Neurospora crassa OR74A: one gene and its partners. The protein of the gene in region 3 purifies or fractionates together with the protein of the main gene of each other region. This does not show direct contact. Links are inferred from orthologs where the notes say so. Each region holds a gene or a part of one and is shown on either strand. Other genes may lie near its edges. The genes, in order: NCU03269, fba and NCU00488.

Region 1 (5,566 bases), on a different chromosome or scaffold from region 3:
ACAGCTCGCCAAACCTAACCCTTGGGTCAACATCTACAGTAACTTCAACGGCCCGACTACGACGACCTTCTTCACCTTTACGGCTTGTTCATCATGCCAGCACCGCATCGTTGTCATCCGTACCATCAACTCCTACTTCAATCGCATCGTCGCCATCCTACCGAGCTTACGACTCATTTTCCAGCAACTATTACACAACCTCCATGCCTTCAACACCTACTTCCATGAGATCCAGGAGCCCCAGTATTTCCAGTCTTGAAACCATCCCAGACACCCCAGATGCCGAGGAGGCCGCTCTAGAAGCCGAGAGAATCGCGCAGCTGAAGGCCGAAGCGGAGGCGGCGGAAGGTGGCGGTGATATCAAAAGCAAAGCGAATGCGGATGCTTTGTCGCGAGGCAGGACTTTAGGGTTTGTGTCCAGAGACAAGCGGAAGCGGTGGAGTGTCTGCGGTGCGGAGAGGAGACAGGATCTCGATTTGGAGACTATTTGGGAGGATTAAACCTTTCGGACCTGTTAGTGGTGTGTTTCTCTTGGTCCGGTACAGTACCAAGAAACGACGTCCGTCACAGTAGCGACACCCAGACAGGCAGATGCGCCCGGTGTTCCCGATCTGGGTACGAGGACGAGGTTTTTCTTGTTTGCATACTGGGCGGCGGCTTTTTTCCAGTCTTTTATCCTTTTTTTTTACCAAGCATATCGGCATCGAACTCTTTCAACCATTGGGAAATATTGGCGGCGTTTGGTGGGGATGGAATTATTTCCTTCGATACCCTCTCTGCATGGGTGTCCGACAGTCGAAGGACGGACGCCTATGGCAGCAGCCGTTCTTGTGCGTTGGGTAAAGCAAAGCACTTTGCGATGAATGTGGTGTGGGTTTCGTTTTCAGCCATCATCATGACTGAGGTCAATCTGTCGTTGTTTTTTTTTGCGGCCTTCTTTTTCTTTCGCTCGTTTCGTTTAGCGACTACTGGTTGGGGCCTTGGAATGGAGTTGGACTGTATGTTACCATCGGATTTCCCTACGGCTTGAATAAGTTAGTCATAAGCGCTCTAAAGGATTCGCCTAGCCTTCTTCATATCATTATCAAAATGGATTGTGATTTGTTGTGGAATGTGCTTTTTGCTTCCTTGTGGCTTCCCTAGCGTACCCTCCTTGCTCATCCACGCTCGACAGGTTGACAAATAGCAATCTTATACGGGTACGGTGGTGAACATGCCAAAGATACGGACGAGCTTACATCGTAGGCACAGCGCATTTGAAAGGAATATGATGTCGTACAGTACTTCGCCCATTCACTCTTGCTATCCCCTCAGCCTCTGTTTACTCAAGATAACATACTCATTTCTCCACAATTCTGCTACCTGATTCATCGTCGAGGAAATCGAATACCCGGTCCAACCTAATGACAACCTGTGACGGCGCAGTTACGCGGAAGTGTCAGACCCTAAAGTGAACTTTGTCTGGCTTTGATAACCTATCATACCGGCGTCAGACCTTTAGCGATATAGGATCGTTCGTGAGCATGTTAGTATGACCATTGTAGTTTTTGCGGCTTGATTATTACTCTTGATGTATGGAGTGACGTCGAGCAAATATAACACGAATATGATAAACATTACACTAAGATATGACATCGATCTCAGTCAAAAGGTATTCTTCTCAAACTCTCCACCTGTCCCCTCTTCCGCATTTCCTCCGCCGCCGCCAGACTACTCGGCACCTTGATACCGCAACAATCGCCCCAGCCAGTCGGCTGATGAACATGCCTCTTGCCATCACTATCATCGTACACTTCCACCTCGCCGCCCTCCTCTTCATTCTCCTCGCTACCCAAGGCATTGGGATCTTGTTCGCTCATACCCTCCGCCGCAGGAATTAGCGATCCGAACAAGAAATGCTGCATAACCGGTAACTTCTTCAGCACCTCCGACACAAACATCCTCCTCATCCCGCCCTCAATTTTCTCCCAATTCTTGGCGCTACTGATATCGTCCAGCATCGGACTATGCCACCTTAAACCTTTCACCGTCTTAGTGCTATTGACAAACGCCACCTGGCCCAGGTACAAAAAGTCATGCCCGAACTCCTCCAGCGTCAGCTCCTGATGAATCGCCCGTGGCGTAATAAAGTGGTGATGCAACAGCTGGCTGGCGCCAAACAGAAAGGGCAAGAACTGGTAGTCGTCCAGCCCCCACACGCCGTGCGAGCCTGCCGGCTCGAGATAGTACGTCATCTGAATCAGGCGCATAACTTCTAGGTAGCGGGCGAAGACGCGGAGCACGACGGCTTTGAAGTCTGATTGTTCGAGGACCGAGAGCTGGTACAGGCACAGAAGCCACATGATGAAGTTGAGCTCGTGACCCGAGCCGTAGTCGATGCGCGTGCGGTTGCCGAAGGACTGGTTGAGGTAGGCTGAGGCCTCAGTGACGGCAGCGTCGGGAAGTTTGCCTCCCAAAAAGGCGGCGTGCCATTGATGTCCGCGCTGCTTGACCTTGTCGAGAAAGAGACGGAAGGTCTTGTTGCCGAAGCGGGAGCCGCCTTGGTCGTCTGGTGGCGACTCTTTGCACAACGCTTCGGTCTCGTCAAGGATGCGAAGGATGGCCTTCACGGGCTCGCTTAGGTCAGAGTCCTTGATAGCCGAGATGGGCGTGTCGGCTACGGATTCGGAGAGGGAGAAGACGAAAGAGAGGATGAGATTGAAAGAGGGAGAGGCCAAGAAGAGCTCGTGGTCTTTCAGGAGAAGGATCCGCCGGACGGGCGTCTGGAACACCAGAGTGGATGGGTCGGGGCGCGGAGGTAGGGCGGGGGTTTCTGGAACCGGAGTCGGGTTCGATGGTTCCTGCTTCCGTCGCCTGGGCTCTAGCTTGGGGATACGGTCTCGTAGATTCGGGATGGCCTGGCCGGCTTTGGAGATGGGTTGTCCTGAGGCTGCTGGCGATCCTTGGCCGGTGCCTATGCCTGACCTTCCTGTTGTCACTGATGAGTCCATGATGGATGAAAGCTGGATGTTCTGAACAGTGTGAAGGTAGGCTTCTCCGTGGTCGGTGTTGCAGTTGACCGTACTCGTTACTTTAGATAAGATGACTGATGGAAGAAGCTGGAGAGAGTGGTTCCGTGATGTAGGTGGAAGGGTCCGAGTGTGGATGTTGGAAGGGAAGTTTACCTACCTACCTACCCACCCCAAGGTAGTGACGGGCAATCCCCTGGATGCTGTGAGCATTCTAGTCTACCCCGCCGTAGAGCCATCGTGGGGCAGGCAAAGTGCTGACGGCAGAAAGCGTAATGGCGTTCTTTGGCTGGGCTGCAGCTTCCATTTCTGAAAGCTTGGCAGGGCCCGCCGCTGGGAAAGAACGGAGTGGGGCCACCTCAAAAGCTAGCGCCCGGGCTGCAGATCCCGTCGTGGAGGAACGACCCGCCTTCAACATCCCGCCTTCAAATCTTCACTCGCGCGGCCTCAGAAACAAGCTCGCTCACCACTTGATTTCAACCACCGTCCGTCAACCAAATCCTAAGCCCCACCTACCCTCACACCGACCCAAACACTACTCACATCATGGCCACCGTGACACCTGAAGCGTCTCTCAACGCCCTTCCCCGGGCGGATGGATCGGCCAGATACTCATATGCTGGGTACACGGTCACGGCCTCTGTCAATGGACCCATTGAGGCTCAGCGTCGGGACGAACATGCTTATGAGGCTCACGTTGATGTAATCGTACGACCCTCTGCCGGGGTAGGAGGTGAGAACATCATAATGGCACCACCACCCAGGCAAAGGACTGCATCTCACTTACTTTACTTTTCTATATAGGAACACGAGAGCGCCATCTGGAATTTATTTTGCAGTCTTCTCTTTCTCAAATCATCCTTGTCAAGAACTTTCCCCGTTCTGTCATCCAAATCGTTCTTCAAGTTGAGAGCACGCCTGAAAATGCTTACGTCAACACAAAACTGGTCCAGGCCAGTTTGGTAAGAGAATTCGAACCCTCTCCTCCCTCTGTTGGTAGGCTATAACTAATCCTGGCAACAGAACCTCCCCATCATACCGGCCTTGTTCCAGACTGCCGTTCTCGCTCTTCTATCGGCTGCTGTGCCAATGAAGGCAACCGCTACATCCACAGTGGTGGCGGTGGTATCCGACGACGGTTCGAAGAAGATCGTGGCTGATCCCTCCCCCCAGGATATCAGAGAGGCAACCTCGCTACATGTCCTTGCTTTTACCTCGCACGATGAACTGCTTCTTTCAGAAAGCGAAGGTGACTTCACCGTCAAGGAATGGGATGGCGTTTACGAAAATGCCCAGAAGATATGCTGTCAGACTGCCTCAAAGCAGGATGGCATCGATATGGTGCTTGACGATGACGCGTCCAGCCCAGATATGCGCCATTTCCTTCGGTCGACGCTGGAGACCAAAGTAGCATCCGACCTCCACTGGAAGTGAAGATGCATTCGGACCGGACTGTCTGCCCGTATCTCGTGCGTTTCAAAAGCCGAAGGGTTGAACAGTCGGCTCATGATGTTTCCGAAATGAGAACTCATAGGCCTTTTCGCCGGTTGACGGGACAAGTGCAACTTGCAATGCGACTCGATAATCCTGTATCCGTGGCAAAAAGCCAGTTCTGGACGGATACGAACCAGACACATTGCAAAGATAACCGCTACCCTCTCGGCACAATCACACATCACTCGGCAAAGTGGAGATTGTGATCGCGTTGGATATCAATCAGCGCAACGGAGTGGATAACTATCTCGAGCGAGATTTTACGTGGATTATGCACGGGTTCCTTTGACAAAACATCGCCACTTCAAACGCACAAGAGGTGGGTCCGACATAGGGGGTATGTTTGAATATTCCAGGCCAGGGCCAGACCCCTGTTTCATGTCGCCTTTCCCAGGCACTGATGTCACGGGGCATTACGGTCTTGGTGTCCCAGGTGTGATTGAAGAACCAATCGACAAGATTAGAACGGATATTATGAGTGCTTTCAATAAGGCACTGGGGTTGTGGGAGTTATCTAATCCGGATGATGGAGCCACGTAGCTGTGAGCCTCGAGCTGATGGTTTGGTGCCCCTGCGTTGGGCTTTTCGAAAGCGTCTATTCTTCGCCTCCCCATGTGTCAGGCTTGATCTTATGCAACACGCAATTCTTAGTCCCATTCCGACTCCTTGACTATTGGTTGTGTTCGCCATCTTTTTACGCGGCTTGGACGGCATCAATGCACAACGGCCTTTGTCTGATTCGAGCGGGTCAAACAGAGCTTCACGGAACACCACATGGGGCTGTCCTGAAGATGTACAGTGTAAGTTTTGTGCAGTGACAATAGCGAAACGAAAGCGCTTGTGTTGTGATGCAGATGCTGAATACCGCAAAGGTATATTGATTGATGCAGAATCGAGCTTTGGTGCCCTGCCCTGCCTGCGCTCTGGCCGGAGACGGACTGTCGGCGTCCTTCGGCAACCTGTGCCGGGAGATGCTGTCTGAGCGGCTGAGCTAGCGCCTGTACCCCGGACGTTCGCCTCCAAAACCCCAGCAGTACCAGGATACATGAGACGTAACTTAACAC
Region 2 (5,822 bases), on a different chromosome or scaffold from region 3:
TCTGGTAGTAGGTAACCGTGGCTGACATATACACTACACTCTCCGCAGCTACGCCGACGAGGCCGCCTTCAACGCTCACAAGGAAAGCCCCAAGTTCGGTTGGATGATCGAGACTGCCACGAAGGAGGATCTCTTCGCTGCTCCTATCAAGATTCTGTTCCTTGAGCCCTTCACTGGTTTTGCTGGCCGTAAGTAGAGGTCGGGCTAGCCGGTTTGCGATGGATGATGAATGAAATTGTTCTGCACCTGTGCTTGATCCCTGTCGGCAGTGGTAGGGTGTGCTTGTGAATTCTGAAGTCTGATGATTTTCTCGGTGACTTCCAGTGTTTCTTTGGCCAGTTCAAGCTTGCACTTCCATGAAGAGAGGTGGGCGGTGGGATGGGCTTCCCGAGTGACAACCAACTTTACGACATCCGTCGAAGGTGTCCAGCGAGTTCTGTGTTCAGAGAAGCCTGGGTAGAAAAGGTGAGGTGCGGGAAATAGACTGTTTAGGACGGACGCCTGCCCGTGACTCCATGGGCTTGAGGCGCGCAGATGGGAGAAGAAGAACGTGGTTCTTGCCAGTACTGGTTGGGAGCAGCACTGGGTGCGGTCAACTTTTTACACGCAAGAAAGTAGAAAGGGCTGCTACATTGAGAAGGATGAACGAAGGGGAACCAATGGGGGAAGCCGGGAAAAGTCCCTGTCGGTTAGTAAGCCCAGCCTTGTAACCGAGGGTGCCGGTCACTGAGCTTGCGGCTTGAGCCTTGTGGCAGCGCATCAACACATGGCAACCACAAGAGCATCAGCGGCCAGGATCATGATGCATTTAAAGATACTGCCGGCTCAACGACGCTATCCCCGGATGCTTGTTCACGTGGCTCATTCAGTTCGTTGCTTCGGCAGCCCGGACGGGAACTTGGGGAAGAATGCGGGGCAAGCGGGTCTGGATCCGGGGAGTCCCGGGTCTTGGCGATAACGGTTCCGTTCCGTGAGCTGGATGAACAAAACAACACGTCCCGGGAAGAGACGGGAGAATGGAACCCGAAGAAACCCAATCCAGGGGTAAATTCCACTCGAAAGGTTCCCCTGGGAACACTGGGGTTCTCGAGGCCCTCGACAGGGTCTCGCAATGGGGGGATGCAATCCAGAGTGGCTCCCAATGAGGTCATCGGTCGAGTCATTGTTCAGTTCAACAGCCCGTGTCAGTGATGTCTGTCAAGTCGGTCAAGACGCCCTGATGATTGACTGTCTATCACAGGAAGTAGCGTGTCCGAGGACCGCGATTGTCAATAACCTTCCTTTACCTACCTACGTGTCTCCAGTCGCTTTTATTGTGCTGCTACCGTGATAGGTAGTGTTGGTGGTGGCCAAGGGTGACAACGAGGGTCCGGCTTTATATCATATACGCCAAAGCCATAGTCAACCTGGAAACCATCATCACGATGAGTGTCGCCGATATTGAGCGGTGTAGTGGTGTCATGTCGGACTGAGGTCATTCATCGCGATCCTGAACCCCGGATTCCGATCTTTTCCATTTCACGTTCTCCAACAATCAAAACCACGACAAATTCGGCGAAGTCATGACACATTTGACGGGCACGAGACCTGTGGGCAAGGGTTTTGTCTGTTGTCTAACCTTCCGAAAGGAGGCTGCATGGCATATGGTCTCCTCAGTTCTGGAGATGAATACATATGGAATAGCCAGTGAAAGAATGGAAAGGGGAGGTGTGAAGTCTTTCGACGGGTTGAATTGGCGGTCTTTTGATTCGTTGTCTGGATAAAGCTGAAGCTTCATACACGCCGCCAACCAGACAGCGAGCAACATCGATAATATGGTCCAATGTTGAAAACACGGGATGACGACACTGGCTTGAAGAAAGTCTGCCATTGTGAGGTGACGACGGCCAAGACTGCCCTTGATGAAATGAATGTGACGGTCCGGCAATGCTCAAGCCGTGACAGTGGGGCCACCTGGCTGCGGATGGCAAGAGGGGACCCCCGGACAAGAACCCCGACCAAGCAGTGACGCGACACTGACAAGCAAGCGTCGGGAAGACGGCCGCTTGGCGCAGTCCACTCTTTGGAGGGTCTGGGCTGCGGGTTGCTGCAAGTGGTCTGTCATTTTGGAGACAGCTCCCTGCTCAATGCTCGTCGTCAACCCCCCACCTTGGACCACTAGTGAGGGGCACAACGCAGCTCTTGCTCTGTTTGGGTGTCCTGGCCAATGAAATCGCGGCTAGAGCGTCGGTGCTATGCTCGGCCGCCCCGCTGGCTGACCTACGATCCCTCCACTTCCTTCCTCGTCCTTGAACCACTGACGGGAGATTGTTGGGCGTGACTGTCGACCCTCTTGCAGTTTCTCTCTTCTCCGTCTCCTCTTCCCAAATCTCCTGAGCAGGACATCAACCCTTCGTCATACAAATTCCCGCAGTCTGCAAAACCGTGAGTGCTTCCAGTTCTGTCCCATCTTCCTCTTTTCATCCTCTTCATTCTTGTTTGTGATACCCTCAACCTGCTATCCTGGAAAGCGTTCTTATACTTACCTATTTCCACCTTTTCACACTAACAGCTACCCCGCGTCACGCAACTTCATAACCAAAACCAACAGTCAAAATGGGTATCTTCGATGTAAGTCTCCTCCAGTCTCATCCTGGCAATTGATAGCTTCGAAGCGCAGCTGATCTAACGGTGATACCCTCAACAGGAGCTCAACCTTCCCGCTGGCGTCCTCTACGGTACGATTTGGCCAAGCAGATGCGCTGCCCGATACCGGAACATAAACAAAATCTGACCTTTTTCTTTACCTCTAGGTGATGACGTCCTGAAGCTTTTCCAGTACGCTCGCGAGAAGCAGTTTGCTATCCCTGCCTGCAACGTCACCTCCTCTAGCACTGCCGTCGCTGCCCTCGAGGCTGCTCGCGACCAGAAGGCTCCCATCATCCTCCAGACTTCCCAGGGTGGTGCTGCCTTCTTCGCCGGCAAGGGCATCAAGGACTCTGCTGAGAAGCGCGAGGCTTCCGTCGCCGGTGCCATTGCCGCCGCTCACTACATCCGCTCCATTGCCCCCATCTACGGCATTCCCGTTGTCCGTAAGTAGCTTAGCTTGTCTTGTTCGGTTCAACTTGCCTTCCAAGATGCTGACATGGTCCTAGTCCACACCGACCACTGCGCCAAGAAGCTTCTCCCTTGGCTCGATGGCATGCTCGAGGAGGACGAGAAGTTCTTCAAGGCCAACGGCGTGCCCCTCTTCTCTTCTCACATGATCGATCTCTCTGGTAAGTCTGCCCCCGACGAATGCGACCGCTCTCACCAATACCCCAGCTTACTGACGTGCAATTACAGAGGAGCCCGTTGAGGAGAACATCTCCACCTGCGTCAAGTACCTTAAGCGCATGGCGCCCATGAAGCAGTGGCTCGAGATGGAGATCGGTATCACCGTACGTCAATGTCATAATGCGCTTGCTCCAAAAGGAAACAAAACTAACACTTGCAAACAGGGTGGCGAGGAGGACGGTGTTGACAACTCCGAGGTTGACAACGCTTCTCTTTACACTCAGCCCGAGGACATCTGGCAGATCGAGGAGGCTTTCCGCCCTATTTCTCCCTACTTCTCCATTGCCGCTGGCTTCGGGTAAGGCTGAACCCTACCCCTTGCTCTCGATTGATCAGAACTAACGAGATGACAGCAACGTTCACGGTGTCTACGCTCCTGGCAACGTCAAGCTCCACCCCGAGCTCCTTGGCAAGCACCAGGCTTACGTCTCCGAGAAGCTCGGTGGCAAGGACAAGAAGCCTGTCTTCTTCGTTTTCCACGGTGGTTCCGGCTCCTCCAAGGAGGAGTACCGTGAGGCTATCTCCAACGGTGTCGTCAAGGTCAACGTCGACACTGATCTCCAGTGGAGCTACCTCGTCGGTATCCGTGACTACATCCTCAACAACATCGACTACCTGAGGAGCCAGGTCGGTAACCCCGAGGGCCCCAACAAGCCCAACAAGAAGAAGTACGACCCCCGTGTCTGGATCCGCGAGGGTGAGAAGACCATGAAGGCCCGCGTCGAGGAGGCCCTCAAGGACTTCAACGCTGCCGGCACCGTCTAAATGGGAACTGGGAGATAATGAAAATGGAATGATTTGATGAGTACACTGCTTGATTCCGTTCGTGTTTATAGTGGTTGCCGGCCATTGAGACTGGTTCCATGGCGTGTCGGCTTTGCCGATACTTGGACGTATACTAGCAGGTTGGTTCACGGTGTTCCGGGGGGTTCAAGTTACCGGCTATGATGATGTTATGCTAGCCGGTTGGGTTTGGGGTGATACCGAAAAGTAGTACATACCCAATTGAAAAGTTGCCTTTGAGCTTCTCCCAAGTCCGTACACGGACCCTTCAGTCATGCTTGGTGGACATGGATCTTGTGCTCTCATGTGGTGGAGTATATAAGGCCCAAGTCAGACTCTTCGGTCCAACAACGAGGCGCTTCCCTGCGCACGCAGTCTTTGACAGGTTATGAGCAACCCATTTGGCGCAGTGGTTCCGATGTGAGCGGCGAACACCTCTCAGTGGTAGGAGGTTATGAGTTCGACCCTCAGTTAAGGGCCATCTGATGCACACGCATTTCTTTGTCTGATGCTTTGTTCCAGACACCACTTTTCACAGGCTGTCCGACGACAGTTCTGCCCGCTTCCGCTGCCGATGCAGTTTTTCAATCCATCGCTTTAACTACCTGCGTCAATAACGCTGAGAACACCTCTTCATCCTCATTACCGGACGCGGTATGGGGTTCTTTTTTTGCTTTTCTTTCTGCTTTGCTTTTTGTTGTTTTGGTTTCAAGGTCAACTTGTTTGGTGGGCATGCCTCTGTGCACGAGACAGCTGATGCCATGCAATGCAATGCAGCAAGTTCATGATATTTTGCACCAGGATGCAAACATGTTACACGAGATTTGCTGCGTCTGGGCAGCTTTCCGTACCTAAGAAATGCTATCTGTCGATTTGATTGTTGGGATGTTGCGGGTCTTGATGGGTTCTGGCAACGCCATTAATAATATTTTCGATTACCTACCTAGGAGATGGGATGGAAGACGATGTAACTCAAACAGTCAAGTACGCCGAAGGCCAAACAGGCGGTTCGAGTAATGATGAGTATCGGTCTTCAATTAGATGCTACTCGAGTTTTGGCGCTATATTAGCTTGTAGTGGATGATGAGTAGAGGTGCTTGAATCAAGCTTCGGTCCGTGCCTCGGCGATCGCATTTTCGAGGTTGACGGCGGTTGTGATTTACCCGGGTGTTTAAGTCGTTGGTTGGAACAAGAAGTGGAATGCTGTTCTCACAAACAGTAAGGGTTTTGAAAAGGCACTCGTCGTTACAGGTAGGCTGGGTTATGGTTTTGGTTCCTGGAGCCGATGAGGGTGGACATCACCAGTTAAAATGACCTTCGTGAATGGCTTCTGAAGGCAAAAGGCTGACCACTTGGAAGCATTGGAACACTTGGTCAAAAACTTTCATACACGTAAAAGTATATATCCAGAACCCATACCTATGTATAGCGTCCATAAATAAACGGGACTGCGCAAAGCAGAAATATTAACAAGAACAGAAACAAAAAGAACAAACCCATCATTCCGAAACTCCAATCCATGCAAACCACCCAAACCACCCAAGCCATCCCTCTCGCTCACTCAAAACATACCTAGAATCGATCACTCGGAAGGCTTCAAGGTGCTCACCATCCCGCCCGCCTGATCCTTCAACTTCTCCCAGCTAGAAGCAAACTCCGAGTCCGTCTCCTTTCTCCCCGCCGCGCCGCCCCTCTCCTTGACCTCCCGCTCGAGCATCTCCAGC
Region 3 (5,842 bases):
GATCAGCCTTGATTGCACAAAGAGTAGGTATCCAGCACTCCAATGTTCTCATTCACTGTTCCGATGGATGGGATCGCACAAGCCAGCTCAGTGCCCTTTCTCAGCTGATGCTTGATCCCTATTATCGCACTCTCGAAGGCTTCATTGTGCTGGTTGAGAAGGATTGGCTGTCTTTTGGACACATGTTTCACCTTCGGTCAGGGCATCTAAGTCATGAGGACTGGTTTACAGTGGACGGCGATGCACTTGCAGGGACCGCCGTGAAGCCAGGGGAAAATGATGGTCGGGCAGACCATTTTGAGAACGCCATAGCCGGCGCGAAGCGATTTTGGAGCAAAAAAACGGCCAGCGGGAAGGAAGCCGTTACTGATGCGGATGGGACGCCTATCGAGACCGGCGTGGAACCTGCTGTTGCCGAAAATATGGCAACAAGACCCAAGGATATCTCGCCTGTCTTCCACCAGTTCCTCGACGCCACCTACCAGCTCCTCAGGCAACACCCGACTCGCTTCGAGTTTAACGAACGATTCCTGCGCCGCTTATACTACCATGTGTATTCTTGTCAGTACGGTACCTTTTTGTTCAACAACGAGCGCCAGCGCCACGAAGCACGGTTACAAGAACGTACAAGAAGCGTGTGGGCCTACTTTCTGAGCCGGCGCTCGGAGTTCACGAACGAGCAGTACGATGCCACAGTTGACGACCACGTCAGGGGCCGTGAGCGTATACTATTCCCTCGCTGCGACGACGTGCGGTGGTGGCACCAACTCTTCAACCGGACGGATGATGAGATGAATGGCGACCTCAATGCCTTGGCCGCAACAGCAGAGCGTGTTGCTGCGTATCAGCAAGCTTCGTCGTCATCAGAGCTTTCAAGGCCTGTCGATGCGGGTACGATTGATGTGAACAGCAACCCACCATCGTCCGGCGCCCCATCGCGGACATCGGTAAGCCCCACCCGGAGCCCGCTGCCGCCGGGCTTGGCAGCTACCGCGGCCGGAGGGTCCGTGCATGCAGGCGTGGAGTCGGCCCACGAGGTTCTGACGCCCGGGACTAGAAGTCCGGCGCCACCAAACCGGAATGTCGCCGCTGGAGATCCTACGGGCACTTTTGCAGCTCTTCAGGAGAGGATTTCCGGATTGTCGCTTGGAAAGGCTATGTTTGGCGGCGGCACCGGTGGGAGCACAGGGCGAAGTTCGATTGGAGGATCTGGCTCTGATTCCGGGCGGAATTCGCAAAACGAACTGGCGGAGCAGGAGATGAAGAGTATGAGTTAGATGAGTGGTGAAGAATGTTGGAGAAAGAGTAGAATAATATGTGGGCAATTGGTTCCCGTTATGAGAATAGCACGTTGGAACAGCATGCTCCCTGATGAAGCAAGGTTAGCGATGCTTTAGTTGCAGTAATGCCTGACTTTATAAGACAGCAAAATATGAACAGCATACATTCCCAAACCAGTATCAGTATTAACATGTGATGATGTTTTAGTGAGTCAGAATTGGAATACGTGATGTTGTAACAACTCACCTTAGGCTGTAACAAGGCAGTTAGTTGGTGTTAAACATTCTCCCCTTCTTGCATCTTGATGGCTGTTGCCATTCTTCCGGAGCTGTAGCACCTCCTTTTTATGTCAGTCTGCAGTGTTTTCCAACAACCTGACCTCACGAAGAAATGTAAGTTGAACAGAAAGAGCGGCTTACGTCGCGAGTTGGAAGCGAAAGAAGTGGTTCATTGATAGAGGTACCTACCTACCTAACTCTCGTGGTGCAGCAAGTAGGTACCTACGTAAGTGGTGCCCGGTGCGCCTTGAGGGGCCACCCCTACGACGGGAACGGGCGGCTACGTCCCAAGCTGAAATGGCGAGTGGCCAGTGCTCCTTCTCAGTTCTCACCCTTGTCCGCCCGGCCCCCGTCATGAACTGGACCCCAGCTTTGCGCGTCAGGTCAATTTGTGTCGAAGACCGGGTCCAGCTGTGTCCCGCCGTTGGTTAGGCGACCTTAAGTGCTGCCCTGCTGCCCTGCTGCCCTGGCTGCTGCTGTTGCTGCTCCTCCTTGTTGCGGCCCTGCGGGGACCACCAAGCTCGCTCCGATCTCCACCTCTAGGTGTAGGTGAGTCCTCCCCCCGAACAGGAACCACCGTCAACCCTCCATCAAGCAACCCTTACCTATTATCAAGCAAAACCGTCCAGTATCATTCCTTCTTTGCCTGCTTGCTGCCCGCCGTGTCGTGGCGCCGTGTGCGAAACTACCTTACTGCTGAGAGATCGCATCCAATTCCGATTTCGACCCGACGAAGCGTCACTCTTGCTTTTTCTTTTTCAACCAAGCAACCAAAACCAACCTAAATACAACAAACCTACCTACCTACCTAGCTGCCCGCCCAAGCAACGCAGTTACCAAGTTGCGCACACGCACGCATCCACTTTCCTCTCTCTACCACAATCACAGTCACTGGTACCGCCGCCGCACAGCGTCGCCCGACCGGCTACCAGTCCAGTCCACACCCCCCCGTCTATTGCATCACGCCCGCAAGCGAACATCCGTACCAAGTCAACCAGTTTGTCCAAATCCGCCTCGCTCGCCGACTGTATACTCCCCCGCGATCTTCCGCGTCCACTTCACAAATCGCCCACAATGGCCGACGCGACGAACGCGAACGACGAGCTCTTCCCCATCGCCGTGCTAATCGACGAATTGAAGGTATGATGGCGGTGACCCGGACGGCCAGAACCCCTGACTATCCCTTCTTGTCTGGTTGATGGACTGTAAACCCTGATTGACTTTGGGCAGCACGACGAGGTCGTCCTCCGATTAAACGCCATCCACCGTCTTTCGACTATCGCCCTTGCTTTGGGTCCCGAGCGCACTCGCGAGGAGCTGATTCCCTTTCTCGATGGTTAGCCAACCCTTCGACCCAGCTTCAGCCTAGCAAACCCACCTGCGCCGGCCTCTGGCTACACAGCCGCTGGGACTCTTGAGATACGGCTGCTGACACTTCTGAATGCAGAATCGGTTGAAGATGAAGATGAGGTCCTCGTTGCCCTGAGTGAAGAGCTTGGTAACTTTGTCGAGTACGTGGGGGGCCCCGCATGGGGACATGTCCTTCTTTCCCCCCTTGAGAACCTCGCTGCTATCGAGGAGCCCGTGGTGCGAGACAAGGTACGGATACGTGACCATTTCCTGGCTTCTTGTCATGCGACCCGCATGTGTACTGACAAACGTTTTAGGCTGTCGAATCATTGAACAAGATCTGCACTCAACTCTCTTCGCAGCAAGTTGAAGAATACTTTATCCCTCTTACGATTCGCCTCTCCAAGGCCGACTGGTTTACGTCCAAGGTTTCCGCATGCGGCCTGTATACAACCCCCTACTCGAAAGTTTCGCCGCCTATTCAAGAACAATTGCGCCAGCAGTTTGGACAGCTCGTCCACGATGAGACCCCCATGGTGCGCCGTCAGGCCGCCACCAACATGGCCAAGTTCGTGAAGGAGATGCCGGCTCCCATCGTTATCGAGGAAATGATACCCATGTTCCAACACCTCGCCCAGGACGACCAGGACAGCGTCAGACTCCTTACAGTCGAGATTTTGATCTCTATTGCGGAGGTTGTGCCCAAAGAGCAACAAGCCAGCCACACCGTGCTCCTCACATCGCTACGCAGCTTGATAGAGGACAAGAGTTGGAGGGTCCGCTATATGATCGCCGACAGATTTGAGAAGGTTCGTGGTCGCGCTAAGCACTTGGCCTCCCCTCATATCAATTCTTGGATGACTAACAGCACATACAGATTGCGAAGGCGGTTGATGATGAGGTTGTGTCCAGAGATCTTGTTCCTGCATTCGTAAAACTCCTGAAAGATAACGAGGCTGAGGTGCGGACTGCCATCGCCGGCCAGATCCCTGGCTTCTGTGCTTTGGTTGACCGCAACGTTCTCCTGAATGACATCATGGGAAGTGTTGAGGATCTCGTCTCGGATAGCTCCCAGCATGTCAGAGCTGCCCTTGGCACACAAATCAGCGGCCTCGCTCCTATCTTGGGCAAGCAAGAGTACGTTCCCGCAGTCAGACACGGTTTCTTTGATGCGTATGCTAATTATTGCACAAGGACTATTGATCATCTTCTGCCCATGTTCCTTCAGATGCTCAAGGACGAGTTCCCAGAGGTTCGCCTTCACATCATCAGCAAACTGGAGCTTGTGAACCAAGTTATCGGCATCGACCTCCTTTCTCAGTCTCTCCTTCCGGCCATTGTACAGCTAGCCGAAGATAAGCAGTGGCGTGTACGCTTGGCTATTATCGACTACATCCCGCTTCTTGCCAGCCAGCTGGGCGTCAAGTTTTTTGACGAGAAGCTCAGCCAGCTTTGCATGGGCTGGCTCGGAGATACTGTTTTCTCCATTCGTGAGGCCGCTACTCAAAACCTAAGGAAGCTGACCGAGGTGTTTGGTGTTGAGTGGGCAAGCGAGGCTATTATTCCCAAGGTTATGGCTATGGGTGCCCACCCCAACTACCTTTACCGGATGACCACTTGCTTTGCTATCACGGTAAGAGACTCAATGGCATACGAAAATCAGTGAAGTCCCTGTCTGACTAGTGTTTACAGACCCTGGCTACCGTTGTCAGTCTGGATGTGATTGCCAAGTCCATCCTTCCGATGCTGGAAAAGCTCACAGCCGATTCGATCCCCAATATTCGCTTTAACGTCGCAAAGACATATGGCATCATCATCGGTGTTCTGCGTCGTCTGCCCGACGAGGGCACCATCTATACGCTAGAGAAGGAGGGCAAGCCTGCCACCCCGTCGCCCAAGGGTCAGGAGCTCATCCAGCAGCGCATCATGCCGTGCTTGGAGAAGTTGCAAAAGGATGATGATGTGGATGTGCGGTACTTTGCGACGACTGCTGCGGCCCAAGCAACTGGTCCTCTTATGGGAGCTGCCACCGAGGCAGGAAATCCTGTTCCTAGCGGTGGGGAGCCCATGAACACATCTCCATAGACAACGGATTTTGAGACGGAAGAACATAGGAAAGCAGAGAGTCCCACCTAATGAAGAAAGTTTTTGTTACCATCAATGAGCCAACAGAGCAGCGTTAGGACTATGATAAACTAGTGGCCAGTTTTTCTTCCTTAGACTTGTCGTAGTCACTCGGGCACTGTACCATCACCGCTGTTTATACATTACAGATTCAAGAACATGGTTTTGCACTTTTCTTGTTGACATCTTCACTGTTTCTGTGGTAGAATTATTGTACGCTACAGGATCGCGGAGGTTCTATTCCTTTTTGTTCGTTAGTTGATACTTAAATAGTTGAGCATGGTCGGCTGGCTAAATGCCCATCAGAGGATAGCGTGGAAGGGAATATGTGGGCTCCAGTAACTACGACCCGAGATACCACTGGGAGCAGGCATGCCAATATGAGAAGTATCGGTACAAGGGATGATAACAATCAACGATCACTGATAAAGTGAGCACACAGACGGACATCACGTAACAATCCGTAATTCGTGGACGTCGTAGAAACCCCGATGCGAAGTCATTTGTAGTCTTTCCAAATATGTGCATCAAGACGTGGTACTCCATCATCCAGACATCCTTCCCGCGCATGGTTTTTGAGCATCCCACAAATCGCCTCTTGAGCCCATTACATATTATCATCTCCTGTTTTCTCCGCAACTTGACCACTACACCTCTCTCGACCTCTTAAATATCCCTTTTCTGGAAACAAAGCGTGCTAATCGTCTGCCCCTTGACACCCCCAAAACTAAAACTAGGGTACTCAATCCTACCTACCTGCCTCAGGCCCAACTTTTTCTTCTCCGTACCTTCATAAACCTCGGCAAAGT

What was found.
Region 1: the proteins of NCU00488 (region 3) and NCU03269 purify together in Schizosaccharomyces pombe (affinity purification with mass spectrometry, with the first as the bait; 3 studies listed by BioGRID). This does not show direct contact. The link is inferred for Neurospora crassa OR74A from reciprocal best matches to the Schizosaccharomyces pombe genes paa1 and ypa2.
Region 2: the proteins of NCU00488 (region 3) and fba purify together in Schizosaccharomyces pombe (affinity purification with mass spectrometry, with the first as the bait; 3 studies listed by BioGRID). This does not show direct contact. The link is inferred for Neurospora crassa OR74A from reciprocal best matches to the Schizosaccharomyces pombe genes paa1 and fba1.

Annotation. Positions count from the first base shown.
Region 1 is NC_026501.1:5,136,550-5,142,115, reverse strand, and holds NCU03269 (serine/threonine-protein phosphatase 2A activator 2), read right to left. Parts: upstream 3,452-5,566; 5' UTR 2,991-3,451; coding exon 1,641-2,990; 3' UTR 1,520-1,640; downstream 1-1,519. Other genes in the region: NCU03270 (hypothetical protein), read left to right, coding at 1-500; NCU03268 (hypothetical protein), read left to right, coding at 3,555-3,741, 3,813-3,970, 4,032-4,442.
Region 2 is NC_026505.1:218,165-223,986, forward strand, and holds fba (fructose-bisphosphate aldolase), read left to right. Parts: upstream 1-2,295; 5' UTR 2,296-2,424; exon of another isoform or gene 2,425-2,551; 5' UTR 2,552-2,595; coding exon 2,596-2,610; intron 2,611-2,686; coding exon 2,687-2,717; intron 2,718-2,792; coding exon 2,793-3,071; intron 3,072-3,134; coding exon 3,135-3,257; intron 3,258-3,324; coding exon 3,325-3,419; intron 3,420-3,479; coding exon 3,480-3,613; intron 3,614-3,668; coding exon 3,669-4,080; 3' UTR 4,081-5,100; downstream 5,101-5,822. Other genes in the region: NCU07808 (hypothetical protein), read left to right, coding at 49-196; NCU07806 (hypothetical protein), read right to left, coding at 5,681-5,822. UniProt on the Schizosaccharomyces pombe protein: Catalyzes the aldol condensation of dihydroxyacetone phosphate (DHAP or glycerone-phosphate) with glyceraldehyde 3-phosphate (G3P) to form fructose 1,6-bisphosphate (FBP) in gluconeogenesis and the reverse reaction in glycolysis.
Region 3 is NC_026503.1:4,028,480-4,034,321, reverse strand, and holds NCU00488 (protein phosphatase PP2A regulatory subunit A), read left to right. Parts: upstream 1-1,908; 5' UTR 1,909-2,633; coding exon 2,634-2,699; intron 2,700-2,789; coding exon 2,790-2,895; intron 2,896-3,006; coding exon 3,007-3,158; intron 3,159-3,226; coding exon 3,227-3,718; intron 3,719-3,786; coding exon 3,787-4,046; intron 4,047-4,103; coding exon 4,104-4,542; intron 4,543-4,601; coding exon 4,602-4,994; 3' UTR 4,995-5,463; downstream 5,464-5,842. Other genes in the region: NCU11185 (protein phosphatase), read left to right, coding at 1-1,277; NCU00487 (hypothetical protein), read right to left, coding at 5,700-5,842. UniProt on the Schizosaccharomyces pombe protein: Phosphatase 2A affects a variety of biological processes in the cell such as transcription, cell cycle progression and cellular morphogenesis, and provides an initial identification of critical substrates for this phosphatase.